2 linked regions of the Tribolium castaneum genome follow. The protein of the gene in region 1 interacts with the protein of each later gene in a biochemical or structural test. Links are inferred from orthologs where the notes say so. Each region holds a gene or a part of one and is shown on either strand. Other genes may lie near its edges.

Region 1 (8,128 bases):
CATGACCTTGCACAGGGCACTCTTGATACACAAGTGCGACAGGTGCGACAAGGCCTATGCGACCTTGGAGCATTTGGCCAAACATGTGGAGGAGGACCATATTAATAAGCCGTATGCGTGTACGATTTGTAATAAACCGTTCAGTAGAGGGGAACATTTGATAAGACATTTGAAGGTGCATCAAACCGGGAACGAGAAAGAGGATAATTTGACGTGCTCAATATGCGAAAAGACTTTCAGCAGGTATTTACATGTTTTGGCGATTGGTAGCCGTGTTTTAATTTTTTTTTTTTTTTTTTTCAAACAGGTCGGATCATTTAGCGCGCCATATTAAAATACATTTGTTGCAAGACAAGAGACATGTTTGTTCCGAGTGTGGTAAAGCGTTTAATCGACTCGATAATCTCAAGACTCATCAGAGGATCCATACGGGTATCAAAGATACTACGAAATTGCATCTTTGTATTTATTGCGGCAAGGAGTTTAATAATTCGAGCAATATGGTGAGGATTGTTTCGTAAAAAATCACTTATTTTGACTGGTTTATTTTAGATTGTTCATATGAGACGACATACGGGGGAAAGACCGTATAAATGCAGTCAGTGTGGTAAGGGCTTTCCCAGATCGCATGATCTCAAGTGTCATGAAAGGACACACTCAGGGGAAAAACCCTACCATTGCGCGTTGTGTGGGAAATCATTCAATAAGAGCAATAAGTTGGTAAGTCTTGAAGCGGACCGCAGACTAAACATTATAAAAAATTATAAATAAATGAACAATTTTAAAAATTAAGTGCCGAAAACACAAGGAATTATATAATTACTCTCTTCATTTGGTGATTCAAAATATCACAATTTTTTTCTGAATATAATTTTAAAGAAAAATAATTGAACAATTAAGAGTTGAATGAGCGTGTTTTTTTTTGTCCAGTTACGCCACACGCGCGTCCACACCGGCGAGCGCCCCTACGTGTGCAACATTTGCGGACGGGCCTTCACCCAGTCCAACGACTTGGCGCTCCACATGCGCCGGCACACGGGGGCGCGGCCCTACGCCTGTGGCATGTGTCCGGCGCGTTTTATCCAATCCGGACAGTTGAAAACCCACCGACGTACCACCGGCCATTGGGTGGAGACCCAGCCGGACCTGAAAGGGGGCCACCGGGTCGAGCCTGTCACCCCCGTGATGGAGCCCACCCCCATTCGGTTCAAAACCCACGGCAAGAAAAAGGACGACGAGGTGGACGAAGCCAAGGGCAAAATTCTGGCCCATACGATGGGCCTGATGGGGCCGTTGAACGTCTCAGGGGAGAATCTGGTGATTGACCCGAAAATTGTCGAATTGCAAAATTCGGGTTTGATCAATTTGATGGGTGCAGGGGAGGTGAAGTTCAAAGAGGGCGGGTTTGTGGTGTCGCAGGTGAAGAGTGAGGGGGAGAAGGTTCAAGGGTTTGGGCAAGGGGGCGCCGTGACGTACTCGATAGTGGCGCCCGTGGCGAGTTCGACGACTTTCACGGCCGCGGATTATAGCAATTATCAGAATTTCGGTTGAATAGGAGAGTAATTTAAGTGATAACTTAGTTATTGTGTGTTTGAGTAAGAAGTGTCTGAAAAATAAGAGGGCGACACGCGTGACTGATGTGCCAGTTTGAAGTACGAGTAGTTTCGAACTACAGCGCCAGTTCGGATTCAGTTTTCATAGTCTGATCAATGTATATTTGTCAGTTCGTGTTTACTATTAAGAATCTATGAATAAACTTAATATATTCTGATATGAAAAATCAGAGCGCGTTTCTCATTTCTTAACTATTCCCAGTCAACACACACGAGTGCAGTTATGTAATAAACTTTAATCAAGCTATTTAAAATAACAATATAATCACAATATCCCATTTACACCGTAATAAGTTGGCCCGAACACCACGGACAATGATGTATATTCTCAGCCGGTTGTACCAAGTTACTGGTTTTAATCTCCGACAGGAGTGCGATTATTTCTTCTGCTGTTTCGGTACTTTGAGTATCACTCGGTTCGACTGTGAACGTATTCTGCGCGATTTTATTGATTTCGTTACTGATTTTCGCGTGTTCTTCGCATAGATGATTGTCGTGGTGATGTTCCAGCAATTCGGACGGAACGGCTCCTTTTTCAAGGACCAGCTTTTTCACCAATTCGTTCAATTTGTCTAGCTTGGCTTTCATCAATTCGCGGTCATTGGCTAACTGTGACAATTGCTGGTCTTTTTCAATCGCTTTTTGTTTTAATAGACTCCTCTGTTGTTGATAGAGCGCCACATACTCTCCTATCGTCTCGGTCTCACCTTGCAATTGCAACACCAGGTGTTCGAGACGTTGCTTCTCCTCTGTTAAATTGGCAATGTCTTCCATCGTCTTCAAAAATTTCTCTTCCAAATGTTTCATGGCCGCCTCTTTGTCCAAAACAATTCCATTGTGGTTGCTATCAGTGGCATCTTTTGTCTCATTCTCTCGTAACTCTTTTACGTCACTACTACACACTTTCAATTGTTTTATCTCTTCGTTCAGTTTTTCGATAGTTTGATTGGCTTGAAACAGCTCGTTTTGTAACGCTTGTGAACTATGATCCTGTGCCTCGTAATGCCTCAACCTATCGTTCAACTGTTCACTCTGCAGCAACTGTTTGTCGAGCTCGGACGAGTTCTCCCGAAGATGCGACAACTCCTTATCTTTGATTTCAATCGCGTCGGCCAAAGTTTGCAAATGCAGCTCTGTTTTTTGCAATTTTTCGAACAATTCCTTATTGTTGCGCTGCTCGATTGTCAGTTTTTCGGTCAATTCGATTTTGTCATTATTCTGTAACAATAATAATAAAGACAACTCCTTTAAAACCGAGCGTTACTTACCAACTTCATGAAAACTTCCTGCATACTGTCCATCTGATTCTTCAATTCGGTGTTTTGAGACACGGCTCTGGCCGCTGCGACTTTGTCACTTTCCATAATTGCTAATAATTTTCCACTGTCGGGCTGATTGGTCCTCAACTCCTCTACGATCCGCTCCAGCTCACTTATACTCTCTCCTTTGGCTTCCAACTCCTTCAAAAGCAACTCCTTTTCGTTTGCTGCTTTAACATTCTCCTCTTGCAACTCCACGTTTTCGGTTTTGAGTCTCTCGACTAATTCTAGGGCGGCTTCGAGTTCGGCTTTTGTTTCAGTGGTGGGTTTTTGCACGGCAAAGGACACTTGATCGTTCTGCAAATTTTGCAGTTGTTTCTCCAACTCGCCGATGTGTTTAATCCTGTCCTGTTCGCGTATCGCCAGAGATTCGTTCTCCTTCTGAGACGTCTCTAATCGAGTCGCCAGACTCGACAATTGCGCGTTCAACTGTTGGGCATATTGCTGGTACTGTAGACTAGACTCCTCCCTCTCTTTCGATAAAGTTTTAACTGTTTGGCTCAAATCGGCGACTTGTTTCTCAAGAGCGAACTTCTCCTGAGTCAGTTTCTCGATCTCACTGCTGTCTTGATCCCCAGTTGTGAGTTGCTGGATTTTAATATTGGCCATGGACAGTTGATTGGACAACTCCTTGATCTGCTGTTGGAACTCGACGCAACTTTCAGAGCTACTTTTGAGTTTTTCTCGAGCTTCAAGCAAATCCTGGAGCAGTTCCTCTTTTTCATCTTTCACAGACTGGTAGCTCTGTTTCAACTTTTCCAACTCGGAGTTTTGTTCGCGTCCCATGTTGTCGTATTGCGACTTTTCGTTCTTAAGGAGCGCAACTTCACGTTCAAGGTCTGCGACACGTGATCTGGAAGTTTTCAAGCGACCTTGTAACTCCTCGCATTCGGCTGTTTTCTGTTTCGCCGCCAACTGGAATTGGCTGAGATTTGCAACTAATTCGGCCTTTTCCGCCACGAGAATTCCCACAGTTTGGACATGACATTGTAACTCTTCTCGAAGAGTGCTAACTTCGTGCTCTACTCTAGTATCGGTGTTCAATTGTTTGTCTTTAAGCTCGGCCTCTAATTGGCTGAGCTTCGTTTGATATTCTCTCAAACTAGCGTTCAGTTCTTCATTTTTCACCTTTTCCTGATTGAGCAGTTCCGCCAACTCTTGATTCCGAATTTCTAGCGGTGACTCGCCCCCCAGTGGCTCATTTTCAGGGGGGCTTATTAATTCGGCCATTTGGTCCTGCAACTGGCGCAGACTCTCAACTGTGGACAACTGGGGGCGTGGGGAAGGTTTCTGGTCAAATTTGACGCTGTCAAAGGCTTGGAAGTTGGAAATTTCGTCATTTTTATTGTCTTCAGGTACTGAAAACGCGTGGTTTTGGTCACCATTGAGATTATTTGAGGGCGTGATGCACGCGAAAGGGTCGTTATTTTGTGAAAAATTATCGAAAAATGCCGTTGGCTGCTGATAGCCGTTGTTGAAGTTTACATTACTGAAGTAATTTGGAAGTTGCGCTGGTTCATTTGTGAGACCTTCCACAGGTGTCTGCTCGCGACTTGTGGGTGGTGACTCGACAAGTTCGGGTGCTTTCTGGGCAGTGTTCTTCTTTTTTTCCTTTTTTAATTCCTTGAACTAGAAGCAAAACAATGATGTGGCCTAATTGGACTAGGGGGTTTTAAAAAAAGCGTGTGCATTTTCTCATTACCTAGACGTGTTAGAAGCTAAACAAGCGTAAATGGCATTTTTTGGTAATTACCTTTTTTCTAGCAGATGCCAATTTTTGGGCTTTTGACACATCTGCCATATTTTTTGTTGACATGTGTCAAACACGTCACAGTTTAAATGTCATCGAAATAGGGGATTTCATGATGAGGGTTGGTGCAAGAGGTATAAAAGTCGCGTTACGTTGGCAATGGTGCTATTTTCCGGTGAGTTTTTGTCTGGTTCGTTCGTTTACAATGTTTATCCGCAAAAATCTTGCAAAAGAAATGCAATCTACTGATTTTACACAACTAGAAATTAAGAAAATGAAGGTGAGTTATGGATTTGTTATGTTGATTCTAGTATTTTTGCGGTAGTAGCATCATTATGATGATTTTTTTTATAACCTGAATGTCTCTGTTGATTCAAAAACGAGCTTTTTAATACTGACTTTTCCATTAAATTCATTCATTTTTCAACTACGATATGTATTTGTGTTGATTTCTGTGATCTATTTGCAGATTTCGTGAAAATGAAGTGGAAAAAATCATGACACTTAGTGCATTCAGGTGAGTGGCAGTTGTTTTTATTATACTTGCAAAGGTGTACTGATATTATTTGGTTTTTTGTTTTTTAATTGTTACAACTTCATCTAATTTACATTTTGCTCTAGATTGTTCCTAAAGTGAGGCCTGAACAAAAGAGTTGTCAACTACTATGATTCCAGCTTAGGCCTAGACGGTAGGTTGTAATATTTTATTTTGTTTTATAAACTAAATTTTAAATGATGATCAAGTATTTGCTATCTGAGTTACTGTGCAGATAACCTTTACTACCACCAAAAAAGTAAGACTGAGTTGGGAAGCAATTTCTCAACAAAAACCATTGGTTTGAGTTGATATAATGTGTTTAATTTTTTTGCAGTTCATTGACGATGAGGAAAAATCAAACTGTACTACAAAACTCTGAGGTAAGTGTGCATGTTTAATATTTTTGTTTTTTCTATTTATCTACAATGATGTTAAGAATTTCTTCACCTGATAGTTTCATCAACTAACTGAAGACAGTTGACTCTGAGACTTGAACTTATGTTTTAATTATAAGTATGAGAGAAAGACAGTTTGGTAATAAAAAATTTTATTTACAGGACACAACTAATAAATCTTCTCTTTACTTTTTTTCTTATAATTATAATCCTTGGCGATATCGATGTATTCCCTTGGGTATATGTACTCCAAAAACTGCAACATTAGATAACACAAAGAGACCGCCAGTAAAAATGGCCAAACACCACTTGTTTTGTAACTAAAATAAAAACAGAAAAGTTAAATTGAGTATTAATGAGTTCAACCTCACCTCCATAATTGCTCCTGTAATGTTTTATTCCTTTCTTGCATAACTTTCTGATACACGATTTCCGTCCGTTTTGAAACGTTCTCCCAGTTGTAATAATTTTTTATCCTCAAATTACACAAGTACGGACAATTAACTTTGTTATTTTTCAAATCATCAATTGCGGTTTCGAGGGTTTTAATAAGAGAAGGGACGTTTGGTTCAGTCAAGTAAATCAAATCTTCAGGCAACACTTCTGGGATTCCCCCAACTCGGGTCGAAACGACTTGTAATCTATAAAAATTAGCCAAGTTACCAAAGTTTATTGTGACTTTGGGAAGCAAACCCGCATGAAACCGCTTCTACTATAGCCATACAATACGCTTCAGTCAGGGAAGTGTTGAGGAAAATATGCCCTTGGTTTAGTACATTGCGAACAAGGGAATGCTCCAGGCTACCCAAAAGGGTGACCCTATCGTGCAACCCTTGCCTTTCCCGTATTTCCTCAAGCAATCTATGAAATTGATTATGATATTTGAGGCTAAAAAATAGGGTTTTTGTGTTTACCCGCGCTTGGGTCCGTCGCCTGCGATTAAAAAGTTGATTTTATCGTGTTTACTGCACATTTCTGAAATAATTTGGGCCGTCAAATCCACGCCTTTGCGGTAAACTAGTCTTGAAACCACGACTATTGTGACTAAAAAAAACCTTCGTAAATGTTTAATTTTATAATTAGAAGATTTTTTTATACTAAATTCGCTCGATCTTTGGCTGGGATCCGGCATAAATGCACATGTATCAACTGCGTTTGGAATCACAGAAACCCTTTTACTGCTGACTTTTGCCCGCAGCACCGTATTTTCTTTCCCAGTGTGTGAAACACAAATCCAGTGATTGCAATCTGTTAACGACATTTGTAACAATTTATTTGTTATAACCGCACTAGCGTCAGCAAAACCAAACAAACTGTGGTCCGTAAAGACAGTCTGCAAATAAATAAATAATTTTGAATCGTATTGAGAGGGTTGTATACCCTTAATCCCATTAAATTTCCGATTACCAGCGCCTCGTGTGCAAGGGCTGAAAATGCCGAATGGCCGTGAATTATCTCAATTTGTTCCCTTATCAAAATGTTGCGAATTAGGGGCACATTGCATATCATTGTCGGCAGAATCGACTGGTTATAAAACACCCTAATTGGAAGGTAATAGACCTTCAGACCGTTGGTTTTGTAACGAATTCCGACACAATCGCCGTAACTGTGTGTCATAACCACAACTTTGTGCCCCTCAAGGAGCAAACACTGGGAGAGGTTATAAATGTGTTCCTCGACCCCGCCCATGTTGGGGAAGAAAAAATCAGAAACCATACTAAAATGTATGTTTGATAACGCATTTAATTGATGAAATTGATAAAATTACCAAATTTTGTAACCCATATTTGAGGTTATCTTGACATTTTTAGGACATTTTGATTTTTTGGTTGGTGATGTAAGGAGCGGGGAATTCGAACACGGGGTGTAGTAATGCTGTTTATTAGATGTTCTCAATAAATATAACAAAGATACATTCGTTTAACTTCTTATTTCTTTAATAGCGTAACTAAAATAAATATAGACTTCTTAAGCAAAAAATAAATATAAAATTTTATACCAAAATATAAAATTCATTGTACTATTTCGTTTAAAACAAACGATTTTCTCTTTTATAAAGCGGTCGTCCACGCATAACCGCAGCGTCGGTAATTCCTGGAAAAACCCAAAAATTTCCAAAAGTTGTTTTTCGAGAACCTACCCGACACTTCGATTCAGTTAAAGCGGTCTAAATTTCTAAATCCCTACTTAAAGTATTATCAAAATCTTTAAATATTAGGCCAGATAGAACTTTTGATTAGGTACAGTATTGCTTAGGTTTATCTTGGAATGTAATAGGAATGTAAACGTGCCAAACCTTCTTGACATCTAATAAATTTATTGTTTTCGTGATATTGTGGGTTCATTTTGGTCCACAGTGGTTTTTGTACAATCCGTATAAACCCAAGCCGAGTTTTCGATTCTCTTTCAATCAACTAGACATTTTAGTAAATCTAGCACTGTACAGACTATAAAGTAGAAGAAGAAAAGGATCACTATACAAGACACAAGGGAGTTTATAAATGTATGCTAGG
Region 2 (7,887 bases), on another chromosome or scaffold:
ACCCCGCCGAGTTATCCTCAGAATCGCCATCTTCAACAGTTTCACCCAACTCTTTCAACCTAAAACAAATCAAACCAACTACCTCCACACAAACCCATTCATTTACCACTTACCTATTTTTAAATGCATTTAGCTTGGTGTCTTGATCCGTCAACAACTCCAACAAATCATCCTGATCCTTCCTCAACCTCTCCAACTCTGCGTCTTTTTCAACCAACTCAGCTTCGAGTTGCTTGACTTTGTCATTACCAGGCTCAGCCACTGCCGTTCCCGACAACTGCATCTGAGCCTTAAGTAACGTGTTTTGGTCATGGAGCTGTGAGTTGGTCTGACGCAACTCCTCAATCTGTCCCTGAAAACAATATCCACCTAAATAATCATGTCAAGAGGAAAATAAGTTAACTATTTGATCTTGAAGAAAAAATCTACAAGATCGGGACACTAACTGATGATACGTACCTTCAAATCCTGATTCTCCCGTTGCAAGTTACTCAAGCTTTTATGCACATCTTGCAACTTCTTGTCTTGGTCCCTTATCAATTCTTTGTATTGCAACAGTAAGGCATTTTCGTGTTCACTCAAACTCAGTTCGGACATCCCATTGGACAAGTCCCTTTGCACCCCCAAAGCCTTAATAATGACAGGCTCTAGCGCCTTGAAGAGCTTACAAAACTCAAACTCTAGTAGCAACTCACTGGAATGTTTGGCCCGAATTTGGGGTTGTTTTGCCGCTTTGGCGTACACTTCATGTCTCGAAATCTCCCCCAGTTTCGTACAATACGTCTCAGTCCCCACTCGCTTCTCAATTAGTTGAGACAAGTTTTCTTTCGAGTAGTTTTGCACAGAGTTATCGTTAAAGGCAACGCAGAGACCCATCAAAAACGCGCATAGACCTTGCAATATTTCCTCGTTATTGTCGAATTCGCTGGCGCTTGTCTGCGCTGTGAGGAAGGCCATAGCCCCAGGCACGTTCAGGAAGACTTGAACGGCTTGGGGACAGTGACTCATCCACATGGCTAACAGCATCAGAATACCGATTTTGGCCTGGAGTTTGGTGGTTTGTTGGAGGAAAACGGCACATTGGTGCAGGAGGCTAACGGGTTGGGAGCCAAGGTTTGTGGCAAGGAGGACTCTCAGGAGTTGTTCTCTCTGAGCGGGGTTTTCGATCAGGGTGTGACTTAGAGCCACCGAACTGAACCAGCAACTGAGGGAGTCTGCGCTGAACAGACCCCCACAGAGGAGTTGCCCGGTGGTTAGAGTCGAGTTGGTGGAGCTAGGGAGGAGGGTTTGGACCACTTGTTCCTGGCCAATCTCGTTTTTGAAGAGGAAACATTGGAAGCAATACAAAACAGCGCAACGTAGGGTAAAGGGTTGCTTTTCGTTGACCATGGACATTAGTAATACTACTATGGCGGGTCGTGGGGGGTTTGAAGGCGCCATGACACCCGCAAAGTACTCCTGATTGGTCAAATTGCCCCTTATTACCTCGCCCACTGTGTTAATAGTCTCGGTTAAAATATCGGCGGGGACCCCACTTGCCATTAAAATATTACAAAGGGCTTCAAGTAAATTGGCATTTCGCATTGTCTTTTGGCACGAAGTGACAATCTGGACTGGGTTTGTGGGCGAGACTAGAGTCCTGACCAATTGCAGGACGCAATGCATGTTAGACACTTTCTGGGGGCTCCACCCAACTTCCTCCAAGTTGTCCGGGAGGATAAACATGGGGGCTAACTTCTGTATGTATGATCCTTCTTTGAAAAAATTGATGTTGCTTGTGTTATTTTTGAGGAGGTTGAGCATCAGTAGCATGCAATCCTCAACCACAATGCCCCCATCTGTAAAACCCTCTTCCCGTATAACATCAAACAATCGGTCGAAGGCGTTTTCAAAAGCCACAATTTTTTGGATGTTGGCGTTTGATTTTGTCAAGTTAATCAAAAGAAGCAAAGCGTCGTTCCGGATCACTTCGCGACTTTCGACCAACAAATCCATAAGTTTTGAAACCCCCATGGGGCTCACGAGGATCACATCTTGGATTTCTTTAGGTTTACTTGCCAGAAGTGAAGTGAGCAGCTTGACAGCTGGCCATCTAACCCTAAAATCGCGGGAACCTCTACTTTAGCCACACTCGAAACACTTGAAAGATAATTAAAAGCTCAATTCGGAAATAAAATTAACTAGACGCCCTCTGGTGATGACTTTTGAACTATGTCGAAAACAGTAAAGAAATTTTCGTAATGCCACATTTAACTGACATTTAATGAATTGTTCAATAATTTTGCGTATATAGTGTTAATTACTTACAATAGAAAGAATTACTTTAAAAGTACGTGGTGGTAAATACTAGCGTTGACTTTGGTTCTGTAGTTTTTCGTGGTATAAAGTGTTTATTGTTGGAACTTGAAAGTGGATAAAAAGTGAAAAATATTTAAATTTTGATTACAAAGTGTTATCAAACAGTTGTCTAATTAAAGATTATAAGTAATGGATCACAGCGAACACAAAGTTTGGCTCAAGAAACCAATAAATTAGTGAAGTGTTATGAATTTTAGGTTAGAATTTTCCACTGAAAAAATCATGAAATGCTGCGGTAAATCTACAAAACTACAATAAAGATTAACAACTGCTGATACATTTAAACGTAAATTATGCCAAAAGGTAGGCTTTTCAATGTCTTTGTAATAATTTTCCAATAAAGAAAGTGAACCAAACAGTCATTCGTTATTCGTGTTTTCCTCGTCATCTCTCATTTGTCAACATAAGTTTCTTGCATCAAAGATGAAATAATCATTCCGCATAGGCAATGTAATAATTGTGAAGCCCCAAAATTCGTACAACGCTCAAAATATCCGAATAAACATTTTCCCGCCATTTATGGTTACTGTTTTCGACCTAGCTCAGTGGCGCCCCCAACGGTAATTTTACTTCCGAATACCTCCTTCCTTGTGGTAAAGGTTAGTTTACCGATAATAAGCGACTTCATCCGATCAAACACAAACATTATTAAATGGGTGAAAATATCTTAATTTAGACCGTTTTCGCGTGCTTTAACACGTATTTCTCTGGTGAAAGCTGTAAATTCAGTAAATTCAGTGTAGTTTTTACTTTTTAATAAATCGAAACCAAAAAATTAAGAAATATTCTAAAATAGATCGAAATCGATCTTATTTCATCTGCTTCAGTCGACTTATTGATAGTTTCTGAGAGAAATTTCGCCAAAATAAGCCGACGAATCACAAAACCTGATGGCAGTTGGAGTTGTCTTTACTTATTTTGAGCCCCTAAGTACATTAAATTTTCAATAATTTTGTAAAATTTCAGTTAAAACCGACCGTAAATTTATCTAATTACAAAAAAAGTACTCTACTATATTGCATTTATAAGCATTTTAGTTTGTTTTACAGTTAGGAATGCTAGCACTTTCGTTAAAAATAAGCTTGAAAATCATTAAATTAAACAAAAAATAATGTTATTTTTGTCTTAAGCAAGTTTCAATCAATAAAATCGATCAAGAAAATTATAAAAATAATTCGAAATTGATGGTAATTTGGTCAAAAATAATGTTATTTTTATCTTTTTTTACCCCCTAAGTACGATTTCGAACTAGAATTTCAAAATTTTTGAACGATTTCGCTCAAACAGGTCTAAAAATTACCAAGTTATGCAATTAATTGTACTATTCTTGCTCTTCTCGAGCGGTTTTACTAGTTTTCCAGTCAGAAACGAAATGAATTTACAAAATTTCAATAAAACAAACTGAAAAATTTTTAAAGTAAAAACTTATTTTTTTCCAAAAACTAGGCTAAAATTGAAAACTAAAACTCATAAAAATACATGATTATGTAGTTCGTTTTAGAACACAATTTCGACAAAAATAAACAATTTGCGTAAAAGTAGTGTCATTTTTATAATTTTCCAACCTCTAAGCACGTTTTCAAAGTAAAATCTAAAGGTTTTTTGCGAGATATCGCTAAAATATGCCAAAAAACACTACAAATAAAATATACAATCAAATTTTTGTTGTTAATTAGCGCTTTAGCTTGTGATTTAGTCAGAAACAAAATTATTTTCTGTATTTTTAGTATGTTTATCAGCTAAAAACTTATTTTTTTGCAAAAAACACAGTATGTCTGTTTAAAAAATCGAAATTAATTTTGACTTAGCTTTGTTTTGCTAAAAACTAGAAGAACAAATCAAAATTGATATTTGACTCGATTTACCTTGTTATTTACAAAGCCAGTAGATATACTGTATATCTACTGGCTTTGGTTATTTATTGAAATTTTGTCAAAAATAAACGAAACATCAATTTGGTTAAAAATAATAATGTTATTTTTGACTTTTTCTCATCTCTAAACTTGTTTTTGAATAAAAAATCTTAGGGTTTTTGTCAGATATTGTTAAACTAGTTCGAAAAATACTTAATTAAATGATAACTCATTTTTGCTTTTTGGACCGTTTTAGCTTATTTTTTGGTTAGAAATAAAAATAGTATTTCACGAGATTTCACTAAAAATAGTACGTCTAAGTTCATTTTTTATTTAAAAACTTTAGTTTTTTGTCAAAACTGCTTAAAACAAATTACCGTTATTTTGACCTGTATCACTCTATTTAAACCGTTTGAAAATACATATATTAGTCAAAATTGCAAATTTGCCCAAAAATAGTGTTATTCTTAACAATTTTTAGGTGTTTGAGTACGTTGTTGAACTAAAATGTTGGTTTTTGTGAGAGAAAAACTACTCACTTAACTCAAACATCACATTATTTCTGATTTCTATCGAACTTTTTTCAAATATAAACACACTTAATTTTAATTTTCAAAATTTCGTAAAATCACAGAGTAAGAATCTCCACAAGGAAAGAGGTGCAAAGGTGTGATCAGTCATTAGTTAAAGCAATTATTACCTAAAGTCGTACTCCTCCAAAAAACTCAAAACCAGGGTCACATTTTCGGCATTTTTGATAAACATTTCAGTGAACTGCTCCCCCACATTGACCTTAATGTTTAAATTACTCTCACTCTCCTCCTCAAAAACCTCCTTCGAGGTGATATTACACAACGTATCGAGACAATAGCCGATGATTTCGCAGTCAGAGCGGTCCAACTCCAGGACCTGTCTCAACACATCCATGCCTTGGGCCCCCACTTCGAGGCGATATTTCCGAGACAGGGCCTTAAGGGCCCGACATGCGTCGCGACGGTCCTCCAGTAACGTCGAAGTACTGACCCGACTCACAAGCCGCTCCACCTAAAAGTGGGGTTAGGGGCGGTCAGGACAGCTGTTTGGGGTTTCGGGGGCACTTACGGTCTCGGCACCCGTGGGCTGGGTGCCGGGGGCCGGGGCCCCCAGCACCGACTTCAAACCGCTCCGGAAGTACTCCATTTCACGAAATTAACACAAATTGTTTGAAATTTTTGACATTTTGACGTGACATGTATACAAAGAAACGTCAATAGCGCAGTTTTTGAAACGCACAAAAGGGGGCACTTTTTGTGTGTTAATTTCAAAGACATAATTTCAAAGATATTAGAGGTATTTGGTTAATTTTCTATGTTTGGACGTAGCTCAGTGGCGTTTTATAATTTTACTTCTGAACTGAAAAAGTTTGGGCAGGTTTATGATACAGCGACCTGTTATTGTCCGCTTGGGTTAGTGGGTGGAAGATGGCGCCCTCAGTCAAAGTGTCACATAAATGTCGCGTTTTTTGGCGGGAATATGAATAAGGGGTTTCAAGAGGGTGAACACGAGTTTCTTTTTCCAAATCGGGACAAATATTCGGGTCACTTTTGCGCTCATGTTAGTGGTTTAGCATGGAGGCAAGGCCATGGTGTTTACGAAACGCACGATTTGCAATTTTACGAAGGAAACTGGAAGGACGATAAATTAAATGAAAACGAAAATGTGCGCATTATGTTCAAAAATAACGACACTTTTGAGGGAAAAATCAAAAAGTACAAGTACAACGGTCCAGGGACATACACTTTTCGTAGGGGAGGCCGGTTGTGTTGCGAATTTTTGAATAATAAGCCTTCGGGGAATGTGATTTTTATTGATTACAAGGGACACCTTTGGCATGGTAATTTTTCAGTTTTGTGATTACGAATGAAATAAATTTAAGTGTAATTAAGGTAAGGCCGGCCCTGAGCACACGCTGCTGTACCGTGAGCACATTTTTTCGCAAGAACTGGACCGAGAAAGGGGCAAAGGGCGCCCTATAATCAAAGAAACAACAATTCCGAGTGAAGAAGAAAAAGAAGGCGAAACGAGTGAAGTGGAAACACCAGACTTGAAAGAATTAGAGAGACAAGTCTTCGCCAAAAGCACCAAAACCAAGTCCGTTATTGATTTCGAAGACTCTGACTGGTTCAGAGACTACCAGAAGAACAAAGAAATGAAGCAAACCGTCTTTGAGAAAATTTCAACTCTGGGAGTTTCGAGCCTCACCGATGACGAAAAAGCGTGGTACAAAAAATATTACACGAGTGCAAAAATTCGCGAAGATTGGAAGAAGCCGAAGAAAATCAACCACGATTTGTTGCGCCAACACTTCGATGAAGAATCGAAAAATACGTGCGCGCCAAGTTGCATTTTTTATGCTTCAAATTTTGGTGAAGGCTAAAATTAATTAAAATTTATTTGTGATTGGTATCGGGACACCTGGGGTCGTGGGCGACTCGAATTTGAAAAATAAAGATTTTGTGATAAATTTGAATATAATTAGGTTCTTGTGTTTGACTCCCAGTCGGGCTAAGTCTGAAATATTGGCCCCAAACCAATTATAATTATTTATTTAAATCGTCGGGAATTAATCATTTTGTAATTTATTTATTTTATACAACAAAGTAGCTGTTTATTTAGGTTTAATTTATTGCACCAGTAGTTTTTATTTAAATACAATTTTCCATCTGTTTGCCTTAAAAAATCAACAGTTTCAAGCTGGGCTATTATTAGAAAATAATGTACGTAACAGATGGCCGAAATTAGCAACAATTCACCTGCCAATAATAATAAGTTGCGGTAGAATATTTAAATTGGGCGATTTTTACTAATTGGCCACAAATTTAACAAAGTGATGAAATCGTGCAAAAAATGGGCCATTCGAGCTGTAGTGCAACTGATTAAGAAAAAAACTTAGCTCAGTTTTAGTCCGTTACTATTTTTTTACTAATTGATTTAGTTAATTTATTAATTAATCTTGTTGCTTACCCGTAATTAATTTTTGTTTAGTCACCGTATAACGTACCCTCGAAAAATCAAGAAATAAATCTTGTTTTTTAAACTCTCTTATTAAAAGTGCAAAAAACGACATTTGGTTCTGTTTAATTGTTTCCTCATTTTTCTTCTAGTTTTTGGTTGATTTTCAGCCCATAATTTCGATAGTACGAGCTTTAAACCTTTTAGTTTAAATTAAATATTTAGTGTCGTCGGAAAACCTGTTTTAATTAAGTATTTATCAAATTGATAGTACATATTTTATACAATAAGTATTTAATGATAGCACGAGCCGTAAGCGAGTGTCGCAGTAAGTATAAGTATATGTAGGTATACTTAGTGTCTTAGCATCTAGCTATTAAATTCGAGCTGCATACACTATTTTTTCTACAATGAGATGGCTCACAATAAAAAAATATAATTTTATTGTGAAACGGTCCAGGCAATCTACTAATTGCTGATATTCAGATTTCGTCTAAGACCAAATAAAATATAAAAGTAGAAAAAAAAAACATTATTCAACAAGTAATACCTATGTAGGAAATTCCTAAGAAAAAATTGATGGTAATTTAAATACTACTGAGAAATATTGCGGCGGTTTTCTAGATGCCAATAGACTTCTTAAAACCAATTTACTTTCTCTGAATATTTGCCGAAGAGTTTTGAG

The links. The genes of interacting proteins can lie anywhere in the genome.
Region 2: the proteins of golgin subfamily A member 2 (region 1) and p115 form a complex in vitro, tested with the Homo sapiens proteins (2 studies listed by BioGRID). The link is inferred for Tribolium castaneum from reciprocal best matches to the Homo sapiens genes GOLGA2 and USO1.

Annotation. Positions count from the first base shown.
Region 1 is NC_087398.1:3,526,697-3,534,824, forward strand, and holds golgin subfamily A member 2, read right to left. Parts: upstream 4,804-8,128; 5' UTR 4,749-4,803; coding exon 4,686-4,748; intron 4,562-4,685; coding exon 2,882-4,561; intron 2,832-2,881; coding exon 1,893-2,831; 3' UTR 1,830-1,892; downstream 1-1,829. Other genes in the region: zinc finger protein ZFP2, read left to right, coding at 1-243, 308-503, 553-720, 931-1,551; PIG-A (phosphatidylinositol N-acetylglucosaminyltransferase subunit A), read right to left, coding at 5,785-5,935, 5,987-6,256, 6,309-6,476, 6,530-6,659, 6,714-6,948, 6,996-7,332, 7,384-7,400; pleckstrin homology domain-containing family G member 5, read right to left, coding at 8,124-8,128. UniProt on the Homo sapiens protein: Peripheral membrane component of the cis-Golgi stack that acts as a membrane skeleton that maintains the structure of the Golgi apparatus, and as a vesicle thether that facilitates vesicle fusion to the Golgi membrane.
Region 2 is NC_087399.1:6,662,889-6,670,775, forward strand, and holds the start of p115 (general vesicular transport factor p115), read right to left. Parts: upstream 5,474-7,887; 5' UTR 5,391-5,473; coding exon 5,313-5,390; intron 5,256-5,312; coding exon 4,912-5,255; intron 2,099-4,911; coding exon 460-2,098; intron 353-459; coding exon 114-352; intron 60-113; coding exon 1-59. Other genes in the region: radial spoke head 1 homolog, read left to right, coding at 5,724-6,084, 6,137-6,627. UniProt on the Homo sapiens protein: General vesicular transport factor required for intercisternal transport in the Golgi stack; it is required for transcytotic fusion and/or subsequent binding of the vesicles to the target membrane.